3 separate regions of the Mus musculus genome follow, and all the other regions are reported to be linked to region 3. The links are microRNA targets in miRTarBase. Many come from high-throughput screens and were not tested one by one. Region 3 holds a microRNA gene; each other region holds the end of a gene's coding sequence.

The links. Region 3 holds the annotated microRNA mmu-miR-693-5p (CAGCCACAUCCGAAAGUUUUC, at 2,906-2,926, shown strand). A microRNA usually pairs through its seed, bases 2 to 8, with sites in the 3' UTR of a target mRNA and lowers its output. Matches are read on the target gene's strand: a 7mer-m8 pairs with bases 2 to 8, a 7mer-A1 pairs with bases 2 to 7 and ends in A, and an 8mer does both.
Region 1: the mRNA of Msl1 is a reported target of mmu-miR-693-5p. Seed matches in the 3' UTR shown: 7mer-m8 at 1,950-1,956.
Region 2: miRTarBase lists Glcci1 as a target of mmu-miR-693-5p. Seed matches in the 3' UTR shown: 7mer-m8 at 1,500-1,506.

Annotation. Positions count from the first base shown.
Region 1 is chr11:98,804,723-98,808,908 of GRCm38, reverse strand. Msl1 (male specific lethal 1) reads right to left here. Exons shown (of 9, transcript NM_028722.3): 8 at 3,990-4,062; 9 at 1,050-3,567. The coding sequence ends at 3,477. The region is part of intron 1 of Gm12359 (predicted gene 12359); the gene reads left to right. Among named protein-coding and RNA genes, the nearest start is that of Casc3, 3.0 kb to the left of the region's middle.
Region 2 is chr6:8,592,557-8,596,764 of GRCm38, forward strand. Glcci1 (glucocorticoid induced transcript 1) reads left to right here. Exons shown (of 8, transcript NM_133236.3): 8 at 351-4,208. The coding sequence ends at 696. It also overlaps the pseudogene Gm16042. Among named protein-coding and RNA genes, the nearest start is that of Gm35621, 29 kb to the right of the region's middle.
Region 3 is chr17:46,228,646-46,232,853 of GRCm38, forward strand. It overlaps Mir693 (microRNA 693), which reads left to right and starts at 2,886; the gene lies at 2,886-2,974. Xpo5 (exportin 5) reads left to right here. Exons shown (of 32, transcript NM_028198.3): 19 at 667-766; 20 at 1,554-1,735. It overlaps Gm22474 (a small nuclear RNA gene), which reads right to left and starts at 4,186; the gene lies at 4,080-4,186.

The DNA of each region.
Region 1 (4,186 bases), not on the chromosome of region 3:
GCTTACCAGATCTATAAACAGTATGAGACTCCAAGGAATCATGACTGTCTGCAGGGACTGATTCAACTGGTGACAGGTGGCCAAATGTATCATGGAGTTCAGCTCCAGAAACAACTGCCTGAACTCAAAATGGAGGATGCATGATTTAATAAGTGTGAAAGGCATAAGAATCTTATCCATCACAATCTAAAATGGTGCAGCAAGACTGCCAAGTTGAGTGTCTAAATAAGGACAAGGATAGCATGCCACTTTGTCCTTTAGTTGTTTGGTCGGAATCCAGCTTGGGATGTTTTTTTTCTTTTTTCTTTTTTTTTTTTTTTTTTAAGAAAATCTATGACCTCAAGCTAGCCTTTTCATCACTCGGGACCCACCAGCTTCAGCCTCCCCAGATGCAGGCTATGAGGGGACAATACCTGTAATCCTGCTCTGGATCCTACTTTCTTTTGTTTTTTGAGACAGGGTCTCATGGAAGCTAGGCTGATCTTGAACCTGGGGCTCTCCTGGCTGTGTGGGTGCTTGGGATAGCAGTCCTCCTGAGAAACAGTTGTGAGAAACGGTCAATGTTTAGCATGAATAGACAGATGGTCTGGGGTCCCACATGAGTCTTATTAGAGAAGTAAGGAGCTAAGAGATTGATCTTTCTATATCATTGTAGTCACAAAACAAGAGCCAGTGCTTTCAAGTTACAATGAGGGTTTTCAAGCATACAGAAGATGTGTGTAGGAAGACACTGTGGTCAAGCGGATCTGGACTTCATTTATCTGGACTGATATCCAGGGAAAATCATGTATCAAACACTGAGTAGGTGACCTATAAAGTCTTGCCTACAAGCTTTGTAATTTGCCATTTATGTGTAAGGAAGGGCTCAGGACAAAGGAACATACAGACACACGCTAGAGTCTGACACAATGGATGAGCCCCTGATTAGAAGGGCGGTGATGTATTTCTCTATTTCACTTGGGTTAATATGAAGATTCTTTCCCATTCTTTCATATATACAAGCAGATATAATGTTTCCCAACAAATCTAATAAAATGAGGCAAAAGTTCAAAAGTTAACGGCCACAATAGTTTATTTACAATTGAACTCTTTATAAGATATTTACAAGACAGCCGACTTTACACATCAGAAATGGTATCAAAAGTATGAATTACAGCACAGACAACGATATGAAACGGGCATAAAATAAAGCTGAGGTGGAGAGACAAGCAATTTCTCTTTTAATTTATTAACACTAGCTTAAACTTTGTTAAAGAAAGAATAAGGAACTATGTTTTCAGAGAAGTGCAGGGCCTCTCTTTCTGCTGAAGACTGAATCTCACAGTGTTGTACCCCACGGAGGGGAAGCAGGTGACTCCCCACGCTCCTCACTGTGCTCTCACCCCAGCCTCCTCAGCATCCCCAAACCAAAGGACATCTAGGAGAGGACATAACCAAATAGTAGGTCCTCAGGGAAAGGAGAACCAAAGCAATAGAATCCACTTCAGTCCTGCCAGATAGCACCTCATGGATTCCTCTCAGTCTAGCAAAAACAGGATCTGAGGACTCCTCTGTGTAGGGCAGAAACCTGGTGGTTAAATCTGTTAACCCATACCCAAATTAGGAATCTGACAAATCTCGTTGTCAAGAAGAAACTGAGAGGGATCAAGAAACGAAGTAAAGAGACAACTGATTGAGGTTATTATTTTTGAGGAGCATGTTATAAAGAAACAACACAGGTCAGAGTAGGAGCACTAAACAGTTGGCCTCATTAAAACAACAACAACAACAACAACAACAACAATCTGGCCCAATCTTTCTAGCTATATCCCCATCCCTAAGGTGTGAGATGAGAGCCCCTAGCGGAGAAGTCCCCTTTCTCTCTACATCCTCGCTGAGGTGGTTTATGGCAGCTTCTGTCACAGAGAGACCACGCTCCTAAGCAGATGGAGTTACAAGTGAAAACCCAGAGCCACACACACACACACACACACACACACACACACACACACACACACACACACACATACAAAGGAGAATTAAGAGCAGCAAGATCATCCAAGAACACTACATGGACTGCTGGAATAATTCCTTTCAAAGTCAAACCCAGGGAGCAAGATAACGTCTCAAAAAAGCTTTAGCAGTGGGAGGCCCCTGAGAACGTCTCTTCCCACAGTGGCAATGCCATTCTCGCATGCTCAGCAGATGGGCCAACCACACACCCTACATACCTTGGCTTCTCCTCTAAAAGTGCTAATAATTTGGGGCCATGTTCTCTTCAAGGATAAGAGCCCTACCCTTCTAGAGATTAGACCCCAACTTGTTTTTATACAATAGTCCTGAAGGCTAGTGAAAGGCAACTCCTATCCAGAAGCCCACAGGCCTCGGCTCCATTTCTCTTCCAGATAGTTAACAGGGATCTTACACTGAGACCAAAGTGGCCTGGGAGTGCTGTCCTGATTTTTTTTTCTTTTTTCTTTTTTTTTTTTTTTTTTCTTTTTTATCTTTTCAGTAACAAAACAAGGGCAGGAGATGGGAAACAAGATGGTTCGTGTATAAATCTATTTTCACTAAACGAATAAAGTTCATTAGGTACAACTGTTTGTTTCAAGCTGTAGACATCTGCCAGGCAGAGGAAGCATATCCTTCCATACCCTACCCCCGGCCCCACCCCAAATCTCTACCTCACCACCAAAAGTTTGGCTAATAGGATCAAGCCCCACTAAGGAATCCTTGAAAAGTGACATGACAGAGACATCTCTACAGACTCTGGCATGCCATCCCCAAATGAGAGCTCTATCGGTTTAGCACTGTTAACTAGTTGGAAACTTACACTCCCAATCTCTTTTCTAAACATCTTCTTTGTTGGGGGTGGGAAGGAACTTCAGTTACCCATCAACTAAGAAAGTGAACCAGCTGCACGTCTCCTCCCACATGCCACTGTCACAGAGCAGTTTAAAGAGAACAAACTTTCAGGTAAAACTCTGCAGTTTCCCCCTCTGAGGAATGTCTTGCTTCATTACTTCATGCTATTCCTCGGGCCCTAAAGTTCACGGTGAAACCTACTACACCCACACTATTCAGAAGGCGCACCAGGGAGGCACGGGGTCAGGGCAGGCACAGCTCCTACAGGAAGGGTTGCTCCATCTTAGACACGCTAATGAAGAGCCCTTTACCCCGTTAGGCAGGCAGGTGAGTTACAAGTGGCCCCTGGGACCCCCAAGTCTCCCCCTATAGGACGAGCTCAAGCTCATCTCCCCAAAATGGGAAAAGCCGCTCCAGTAACCCCTAATTCACAATCAGCCAACGCAAGAGCTTTCTTCTGTTTGTTTTGTGAAATCAGAGTAAAGAAAACAAAACTAATATAAAGGGAGGATGGAAAGGCATTACCAGTGAATGATAACAGACATGAGGGCACAGGTCACACATACAGGTCTCTGCTATTCTCTCGGAACAGCATGCTACAACTATCTGAAGACAGGCTACCGCCAGCACAGCTACTTCCTACAGGTCCGGTGAGGTGTGTGCTTCTTCTGGATCTCCAACCTGCAACGGCTTCGCTCATCCAACCAGGGTAGTTCAAAGTTCCTGGCAAAAAGAAAGACAGCAAAGTGACAAGGCTACTTCCAAGGCAGTAGTCAGCTGACACAGTCACCATCCAAATGGCAATGTCATCTACCTCAGATTAAAGAGCATTCCTAAAGCCGGGCGTGGTGGCGCACGCCTTTAATCCCAGCACTCGAGAGGCAGAGGCAGGCTGATTTCTGAGTTCGAGGCCAGCCTGGTCTACAAAGTGAGTTCCAGGACAGCCAGGGCTACACAGAGAAACCCTGTCTCGAAAAACCAAAAAGAGCATTCCTAATGAGATCTGACGCCTGGCTTCTAGCTTGTCATCAGACAATCATGGCTAGCCCTAAGTCACATGTGTCCCCATTCTATCTAGGCTTCCATGGAGCCTGAAAAGGAGGTACAAACTACCTGAAAAGAGAGGAACAATCTATTTTACTTACTGTGGAGCTAATTTTGGCAATGGCCGTCCAAATGCTACAACAGGCAAGAAGGGGGTAATCAGCAAACTTTCAACTATGGAAGAAAATCACATGGAGCCTTGTTAGCAAAGAGGTGAGAAATATCCAACCGCCACCGCTGCCACCACCACCACCTCCACAGCACAGCTCACCCGTCACAAGCAGCTGTGCTGTGGAGA
Region 2 (4,208 bases), not on the chromosome of region 3:
AATGATAAATAACATTTCTATTTATACTTCTTATTAGTGATGTTCATCCTAAATGTGTATAATACCTCAAGTACAGTGTAGAATTTCTTTTATATTCCTCAATGATTGGAAGCAAACCAAAGATCTCTAAAAATTTGCCTGGCCCTTCTGAAAATCGTTTTTTCCTTAAGTGTCATTTCAGTGCGCTATATGTGATAATCTCCCAGCTGACCTGTGCTATGGAAGATGTCTTTCCTCTGTGTGCACATACCTCACCCTGTCATTCACACTGTAGCTGTTTTATAAAACTCCAAGTTATTCACAGAGTACATTATAGTGATCAGAAAACTAATTCTGTTTTATGCTTTTAGGTCTCGTCAGCCTATCTCGGCCCCTCTCTTTTCATGTCCTGACAAAAACAAGGTTAATTTCATCCCAACCGGATCAGCTTTCTGTCCTGTAAAACTTCTAGGCCCTCTCTTACCTGCCTCTGACCTGATGCTCAAGAACTCCCCTAATTCTGGCCAGAGCTCGGCTCTGGCAACACTGACCGTAGAGCAGCTTTCCTCCCGGGTTTCCTTCACATCTCTCTCTGATGACACCAGCACAGCCGACTCCCTGGAGCCCTCTGCCCAGCAGCCATCTCAGCAGCAGCAGCTCCTACAGGACTTGCAGGTGGAGGAACACGTCTCCACTCAGAACTATGTGATGATCTAAAGCAGAGGGGGAGCTGGTCTCCACCCATGGTCCATGGATTGGGAATGAGATCTCAGACATCTATCTGCATGGAGTGACAAACTTTCCCAACATCACCAACAGCAAAGTACTTAGCATCACAAAATAGCTATTAACACTGATCTTGGCAGGGACCGACTTATATTCAGCAGTTTTTGTGGAAAGCAGTAATGCTTGCAAAAATGTGTGTGTCATTCAGCATTTAATGGAGACTATGCATTTCATAGTATGTCTGACAGATTAGTACTGTGTCCTGTGTTTTGTTCCAACATTTTCAGTATGAATAAGCTCTATTTCAAAAAGTTGCCTGTCTAAGTAGAAAATGTCTTGCTGTGTTTTGTCCTATGGAAAATACTGTACTTCAGGATTATGTTTACAATTGATCCAGGTGTTTGTTTCTAACTTCTATAATACATACAATGCAAAAAAAAAAAAAAAATGGCCACAACAGTTGCACAGTGCCCACCCTATGGCCTAGCTTCAGGTACTTCAGTTGAAGTCTAAACTCAGGTAACTTGGAATGTATGTCATATTGGGATATTAAATATTTCACAGCTACAAAGCTAAAGAGGGAACATCACTCTTTTGCCTTTCCTTGTTTTATGCATTTCCTTTTCTTCATTCCATTCCACACTAGAATAAGAAGTGCATTGATCCCTAGGAGATGCTAATCCTGGGTATAGGGAACATGAGGAGAACCAGCAAATTTGTGGTGTGTGACATCACTTTTGTCATGTGGTTACCAGTAGAACAACTGTTGCATTCACTGTTTCAACATGTGTAAATGTGGCTTTTTTTTTTAAAAAAAAAGAAAAAGAAAAAAGAAAAAACAAGTTGTGTTGCTCAGTGACTGACTGTTACAGTGTTGCAAATAAAGCCTCAGTAGTAGCCTACATAAACATTCCCCATTGCGTGTGACGAAATTTAAATGCAGGGATGGCTGGAGTTCATTTCAAAGCAAGTGGCGTTTTGCAGAAATAAATAAGGATTTTTCTTTATATTGGCCATTGGGGTCATAATTGCTACTATTTTTATCTAAAGACATATTTATGTTTAGCTTCATTTTAGGAAATTGTAATTTTCTGGTTACAAAGTGAAACATTTTGGTTACTGTTTTCCTCAAGTATTTGGTAAATGAGTTGTATTCATGTAGAGAGAATGTGTATGTCTCAGAACCAGTGCAGCATAAGCAAGCAGATTTCTTGTTGACTTTCGAGAGCAATAGCTTAAAGCTGTCTCATTTAAGCCTCAGATAACACTATCATGAATAATTTTGTTAAGACGTAGAACGCATGGAGTGGAGCAGAACCCCGAGTAAATAGCCTTGAACTTGCAGACTTGACAGAAGTTCTCCACAAAGTGCATAGAAGAGAGCCATAGAGATTCCTGTTGCCACCTGGAGAGCCCGACTTCAGACTTTATTTTTTTGCAGCACAGCCTGTGCAAAAGTAAAGGGACGCTTTTGTATTGGTGTTCCGTTGCTCTCAGTTCAGTTAGAGCCTAGAGTTCTCCCATCTCCACCTAACGTGTGTGGCACAATGTTTGGTTTGGTTGGTTTTTAGAGTCGGGAACCGCTGCCTACAGTTACTCTTCAGTTTTCCATAGGTCATACCTGCGGTTTCCTTTGACTCCTCTAAGGAGTCAACGAGTAGAAGGATGAGCTGATAAAGTGATGATACCGTGTTAATTTTTACAAAATGCTGTGCGTGAGTGTGCATACACGTGCACATGGATGTGTGGATGTGTGTATTCTGTGTGCTATTTTGTCACCTTGATGTCTCCTTTCCACCAAAGTTTGCAGTAATACTCTCTTCTGAAGGTACGCAGTCAGTGTTATAGAGACTGTCATGGAGAAGAGGACTCAGTTGACTTTTGCCATTTTCATAGGGGAACCTTTTAAAACAATCTTTTCAGCAGCAGACACCTTTAACCCTAATAATCTCAGGCCTTGATGAAAATACTATATTTTGTAGATTATGGTTAAAGGAAGAAAATTGCTAGTTCCGTAAGATAAATATGAGCTCCATTTAACTTCTTTTTTTTAAGCCTCTAACAATTTTATTGTAAGTAAACAAAATTATGTGTACTTGTTTTATTCGGCACGTGAAAACAGATATTTACAGATATAAAAAACTCGTATTGACAGACGTTTAAATGGACAGAGTCAAGTTGATAGAAGCATGACACAAATTTGGTAAAGCAAATCTCAGATACTGACACTGAAGCAAGTGCTCTCAGATCCATCAAACAGACCACAGCCCTCCCTTGCCAAAACTCCAATCAATTCTATCTTAGTATCTAAGATAGACATCCTGTTTGTTTTTCATAAGTCAATCTTGGCACTTTTATGAACAATTAGTTCCTCTATTCACAAAAGGCATCATAATTATTTTTACTTTCTTAAAGTTTGAGGGTTTTTTGGTTTTTGTTTTAAGTAGCCAAGATCTACAGTTGATCTTCTAAAAGGTCACGATCTTAGTAAGTTCTTTTTAGTTACAGGCAAAGGACCCACTTTACAGTTGGCTTTTAGGATCTTGCCATTCAAACAGTCTTTGTTGTTATGGTAAGCACACAGACACTTTGTACAATATTCAAATTGACAGCTTTCCCGTTTGCAGACTGCTCGCTCTAAATAGTGGTCATATTTTGCAGGGAAATTATAGCAAGCACAGGCTTTGAGGCTTCCCTTGTTCTTCAATGTCTGCCACCTCCACGAACTTGTTGTGCCAGCTGTAGGTAGAACCTTTCTGACCACGCTGACTGGAGGACTTGACCTGAACATCTTTTTTTGGGAGGTGCCCAGGTCGACGATGACTTTGAACAGAAGTTAGTGCAGGTCTGCCCACAACATGTCCTCTCGTTGCAGCATGTAGTGACAACTTACTGCTTTCAATGACTCTGCATGGTTTTGCTGTAGAGCTGGACCGCTCCCTTATTGTTTTCCAGTATCTTCTTCCAAATTCTGCTCACTTTAGACAGGTTTATTAAGTCCGTGCCCCGAGCTTCATCACAATGTTAGCCAACAGGTGCACGAATCCCCTCCGGGAGAGCTCAGCCAGGAGATCTAGGTGTTCCAGGCCCATTTTCTTGCCAATTATACTTTGCAGTCTAAAGTTGCCGCTGGTGATAACTTCCTTCAGCATTTCTCGATCCACTTTAGGGTTTCGCTTGCCATTCTTTTTTAGTGTTGAGCAAACCACTCTTTGACAATGCAGGACAGGCAGCAGGTTTTGTTGGGATGCTGGTCCAGGCTCTGTGATGGCAGCAGGCGGGCCTGGGGACTGTTTCTGAAATTCTCCAGGATAAGGATGCCGTCGTCACGGTCACTTTGTGTAAAAGATGAGTAGCCACTGTCCTCATACAGTCTACTGGCCTCTAGCTCTTCTGTTTCGTTTGAACTATCTAGTGTGTTTTGTACACGTTGATTCTCCTTGCTATCATGACCCACAATTGGTGACTCGATGAAAGACAACCTCTCATGGTTTCTAACACAG
Region 3 (4,208 bases):
ATAATGCTTCCTTGGTCTGCTGTTAGCTCTTGTGGAGACTGTCAGTCCTTAAGGGCATGATTCAAAGAAGCTACAGTGGCACCATCCTTTGCCATCAGAGGCATACACCAGTCTCTGAGTTCCCAGTCAACCAAACCCTGCCTCGTAGGAGCAAACAAAATTTGGAGGGCTGGAGAGATGTCTCTGCTGATAAAAGAGCATTTACTGCTCTTGTAGAGGCCCAGGTTCATCTAGTTCCAAGCACCTACATTGTAGCTCACTACCATTTGTAACTCCAGCCCCAAGGAATCCAGAGCCCTCTTTTGGTCCCTGAGGAACTAAGAACTGTGCGCTGTGTGGTGTACAGACATACATAGATGCAAGCACACATTCCCCCCATTTTCTTTTTTTTTAATCATGACGGTAGGGGCTTGGAGGGATGGCTTAGTGGTTAATAAAGCTTACTGCTTTTTCAGACAACCAGAGTTAGTGCCCAACACCAGGCTGACTTGCTCACAGCCGCTTGTAACAAGCTCCAGGGGACCCATGGTCTCTTTTGGCCTCTGAGGTCACCTGTACTCATATACATACCCCACACAGACATGCACATACACTTAGCTGAAAAGAAAGTAAATCTCTGTCTAAACAAAGATCATGATAGAACTTTTCTTCCTCCCCTCCCTTCAGAGCGCTGTCAGATATTGACTCCTTCATTGCCTATGTGGGTGCTGATCTGAAAAGCTGTGACCCAGCTGTGGAGGATCCATGTGGCTTGAACCGTGCACGAGTAAGACTCTCCTGGGAATGGGAAGTTTCACTGGCCACGGGCAGGAGTTAGGGTGTTTCATTGATCAAGTTTCTCAGATTTGTTTTGTCTGTACTGCTGAGAGACCCAAGAGTCTCTCCTGCCCTAAGCTTCTCCTTTCTTTTCTTCTTTAGTCTTGAATTCTTGAGTTAGTTCTCACAACAGAGCAGATGGTCTTTTCTATGAAGTCATTATTTTGGCTTTAAGGATCCCTAAGTAGCTCGGAAGACTGGAGGTGTAATGAGGAAGTAGGTCAGACTTGGTGGCAGGGTGAGTCCCCCCTGCTATTGCTCGCTGGCATGTGAAGTCCTAGGTGATGGCCAAATCTTGAGACCCTGAGGCCTTCCAGTGCACCGGTGCTCAGATAAGCCACTACGGTGAAAGACACATGACCAGCCTGGCATGAGGGGTTGGGGGTTAGGATGCAGGCTGTGGAGTCCTGGATGGAGGGTCAGGTAAAAAAAAAAATGGCAGTTTAAATACTTGGTGGTGGAGCTCATCCAAACCACCCCTACCCCAGGGTCATTAAACCCCTGGAAAGACATGCTAATGAGAAGGGAGCTTCCAGAGCTTCCTCCCACGGGTCCTGAGAAACGGCAGTGAGAAGACCTCCCTTGGACTGGACCATAAGGACAAGGACTGAGGTCTCGCTGGGGTGGGAGACACAGGCTTCTTCCCCGTCTCTGTCGGTGACACTGCGCTGTCCCCCTGCATGTGTGTCTCAGTGCTCTCCCCTTATCCCGGCTGTGTTTTTCCTTCTTCTCTCTAGATGAGCTTTTGTGTGTACAGCATCCTGGGGGTTATGAGACGCACTAGCTGGCCTTCCGACCTAGAAGAAGCCAAAGCTGGGGGCTTTGTGGTGGGCTACACACCCAGTGGAAATCCCATCTTCCGTAACCCCTGCACAGAGCAGATCCTCAGACTTCTCGACAATTTGCTTGCCCTTGTAAGGTGAGTCAGAGATAGTCTTTGTCCTTATTTTAGCCTTAAGAATCTCAAAAGTTTCTAATCTTCTCTTTCTCATTGCACTGGTGGTGTGGGATTAGGTCCTGACTCTTTTGAGAGGGAGGCTCATCTTTCTAAGGACAGTTGGCCTCCCTGTGTGAGGTGTGCTCTCTCCATAGGCATAACAGTGTTGTAGTATCCTGTTTTAGTTTTCAAGACAGGGCCTCTCTGTAACCTTGACTATCGTGGAACTCACTCTGTAGACCAGGCTGGCCTCAAACTCAAGATCGGCCTGCCTCTGCCTCCCCAGTGCTGGGATTAAAGGTGTGCGCAGTTTTTTATTGTTGGTTTGCTGGAGACTGACATGGGCCTTGTGCATCCGAGGCCACAGTGTACCACTGAGGTACATCCCAGCCCTCTCTTATTTCCTTACAGCTTATACCTACTTTTAAGGTTATTTTGTCTAAATTTTTAGTAGGAAGGAAACGGCTTGTTGGGAGCGGGACAGTTGGTTTCTGTAGTAGTGTTTCTCCAGATGGTGTCCATGTGCACTAGTAGAATTTCTCACCAATGACTGAACTCATGTAGGCCAAGCATCCGATGGCTCAGCAAGCCAGAGGAGAGCAGGATGTCTGTCACCTCAGTTTGTGCAGCCTTCACTGTGAGACCTGTGGCATCAGCAGCTACCTGAGCCCTTGCTCAAAAAGCAGAATTAGGGACGCACTGCAGACTGTAAATGTTAACAAGCTACCTGGGAGTTTCATGTACACATGGAAGAGTCAGCAGCGTCACCCTAGGTCACAGGAACTGACCTGCTCACATGAGAGGTGCTCAGGCTAGGCTTGTTGATACTTTTAAACTATAGAAGTGAAACATTTAAAAAACGTGCAGTCCTTGGTCTCTGACTTCTATTGCTCAACATCATGGTGTGGGAGCCATGAGTTATGTGTAGCTGGGTCTGTTTCTTCTTCCCGTCTATGTGGTGTCCTGCTATGTGGCTGTGCTGTTTCTTATTGATCCTGGTGGGCTTTTGGACAGAATTTTGATAACACGCATACAGTAAATTTAATAATAAGCTACTCTCAGGATCTTGAAAGTGTACTTGTAAGATATTTGCATATTCTTGTTGGTTATACACGGGAGGGTAGAAATCCTGAGTTGTAGGCATGCTCATTACAGCCACATCCGAAAGTTTTCCTGGCTAGGGCAGCTTTCAGATGTGGCTGTAATGAGCATGCTCCCAGCAACGGCATACAGGAATGATGGAAAGTTTTTGGTTCTTTCTTTTTGTTGCTTTTGAAGCAGTGTACCGCCAGCCCTTGGCGAGATTGGGGGCGGGGGTGCACTGACAAGGGGTGCATGCAGAAGCCAGAGACGGATGTCAGGGTATCTCCATTGTTAATTCTCTGCCTTATTATTTGAGACACAGTCTTCGACTTGAACCTACACCTGGAAGTTTGGCGAGACTGGCTGACCAGAGAATCCTTGATTGTGTCTATTTCTGTACACTCAGCACTGCTGGCATAGCAAGCATTTTGCTCTCTAAGCCATCTCCCCTTTTCTGTTTTTAATTATGTTTTGGGCTAGTAGATTTTATTCTTGGTAATCCAGGCTGGTTTTTTGTTTGTTTGTTTGGTTGGTTTTTTGGGTTTTTTTGTTTTTGGTTTTTTTTGCATGTTTACAGACATTTATTACTTTGTGTTATTGTCACAGAGGTCAATTTATTCTGTTTTTTTCCCCCCACTTTTTTTTATTAGATATTTTCTTCATTTACACTTCAAATGCTATCCCAAAAGTCCTCTATACCCTCCCCCCTCCCTGCTCCCCTACCCACTTACTCCCACTTCTTGGCCTTGGCGTTCCCCTGTACTGGGGCATGTAAAGTTTGCTAGACCAAGGGGCCTCTCTTCTCAATGATAGCAGACTAGGCCATCTTCTGCTACATATGCAGCTAAAGACATGAGCTCTGGGGGTACTGATTAGTTCATATTTTTGTCCCACCTATAAGGTTGCAGACCCCTTCAGCTCTTGAGAACTTTCTCTAGCTCCTATATTGGGAGCCCTGTGTTCCATCCTATAGATGACTGTGAACATCCACTTCTGTATTTGCCAGGCACTGGCCTAGCCTCACAGGAGACAGCTATATCAGAATCTTTTCAGCAAAATCTTGCTGGCATATGCAGTAGTGTCTGCGTTTGGTGGCTGATTATGGGGTAGACTCCTGGGTGGGGCAGTCTCTGGATGGTCCATCCTTTTGTCTTAGCTCCAAACTTTGTCTCTGCAACTCCTTCCATGGATATTTTATTCCGTATTCTAGGGAGGAATGAAGTATCCACACGTTGGTCTTCCTAAAAATATGGAACGCTTCACGAATTTGTGTGTCATCCTTGCACAGGGGCCATGCTAATCTTCTCTGTATTGTTCCAATTTTAGTATATGTGCTGCCGAAGTGAGCACCCAGGCTGGTCTTTAACTCACT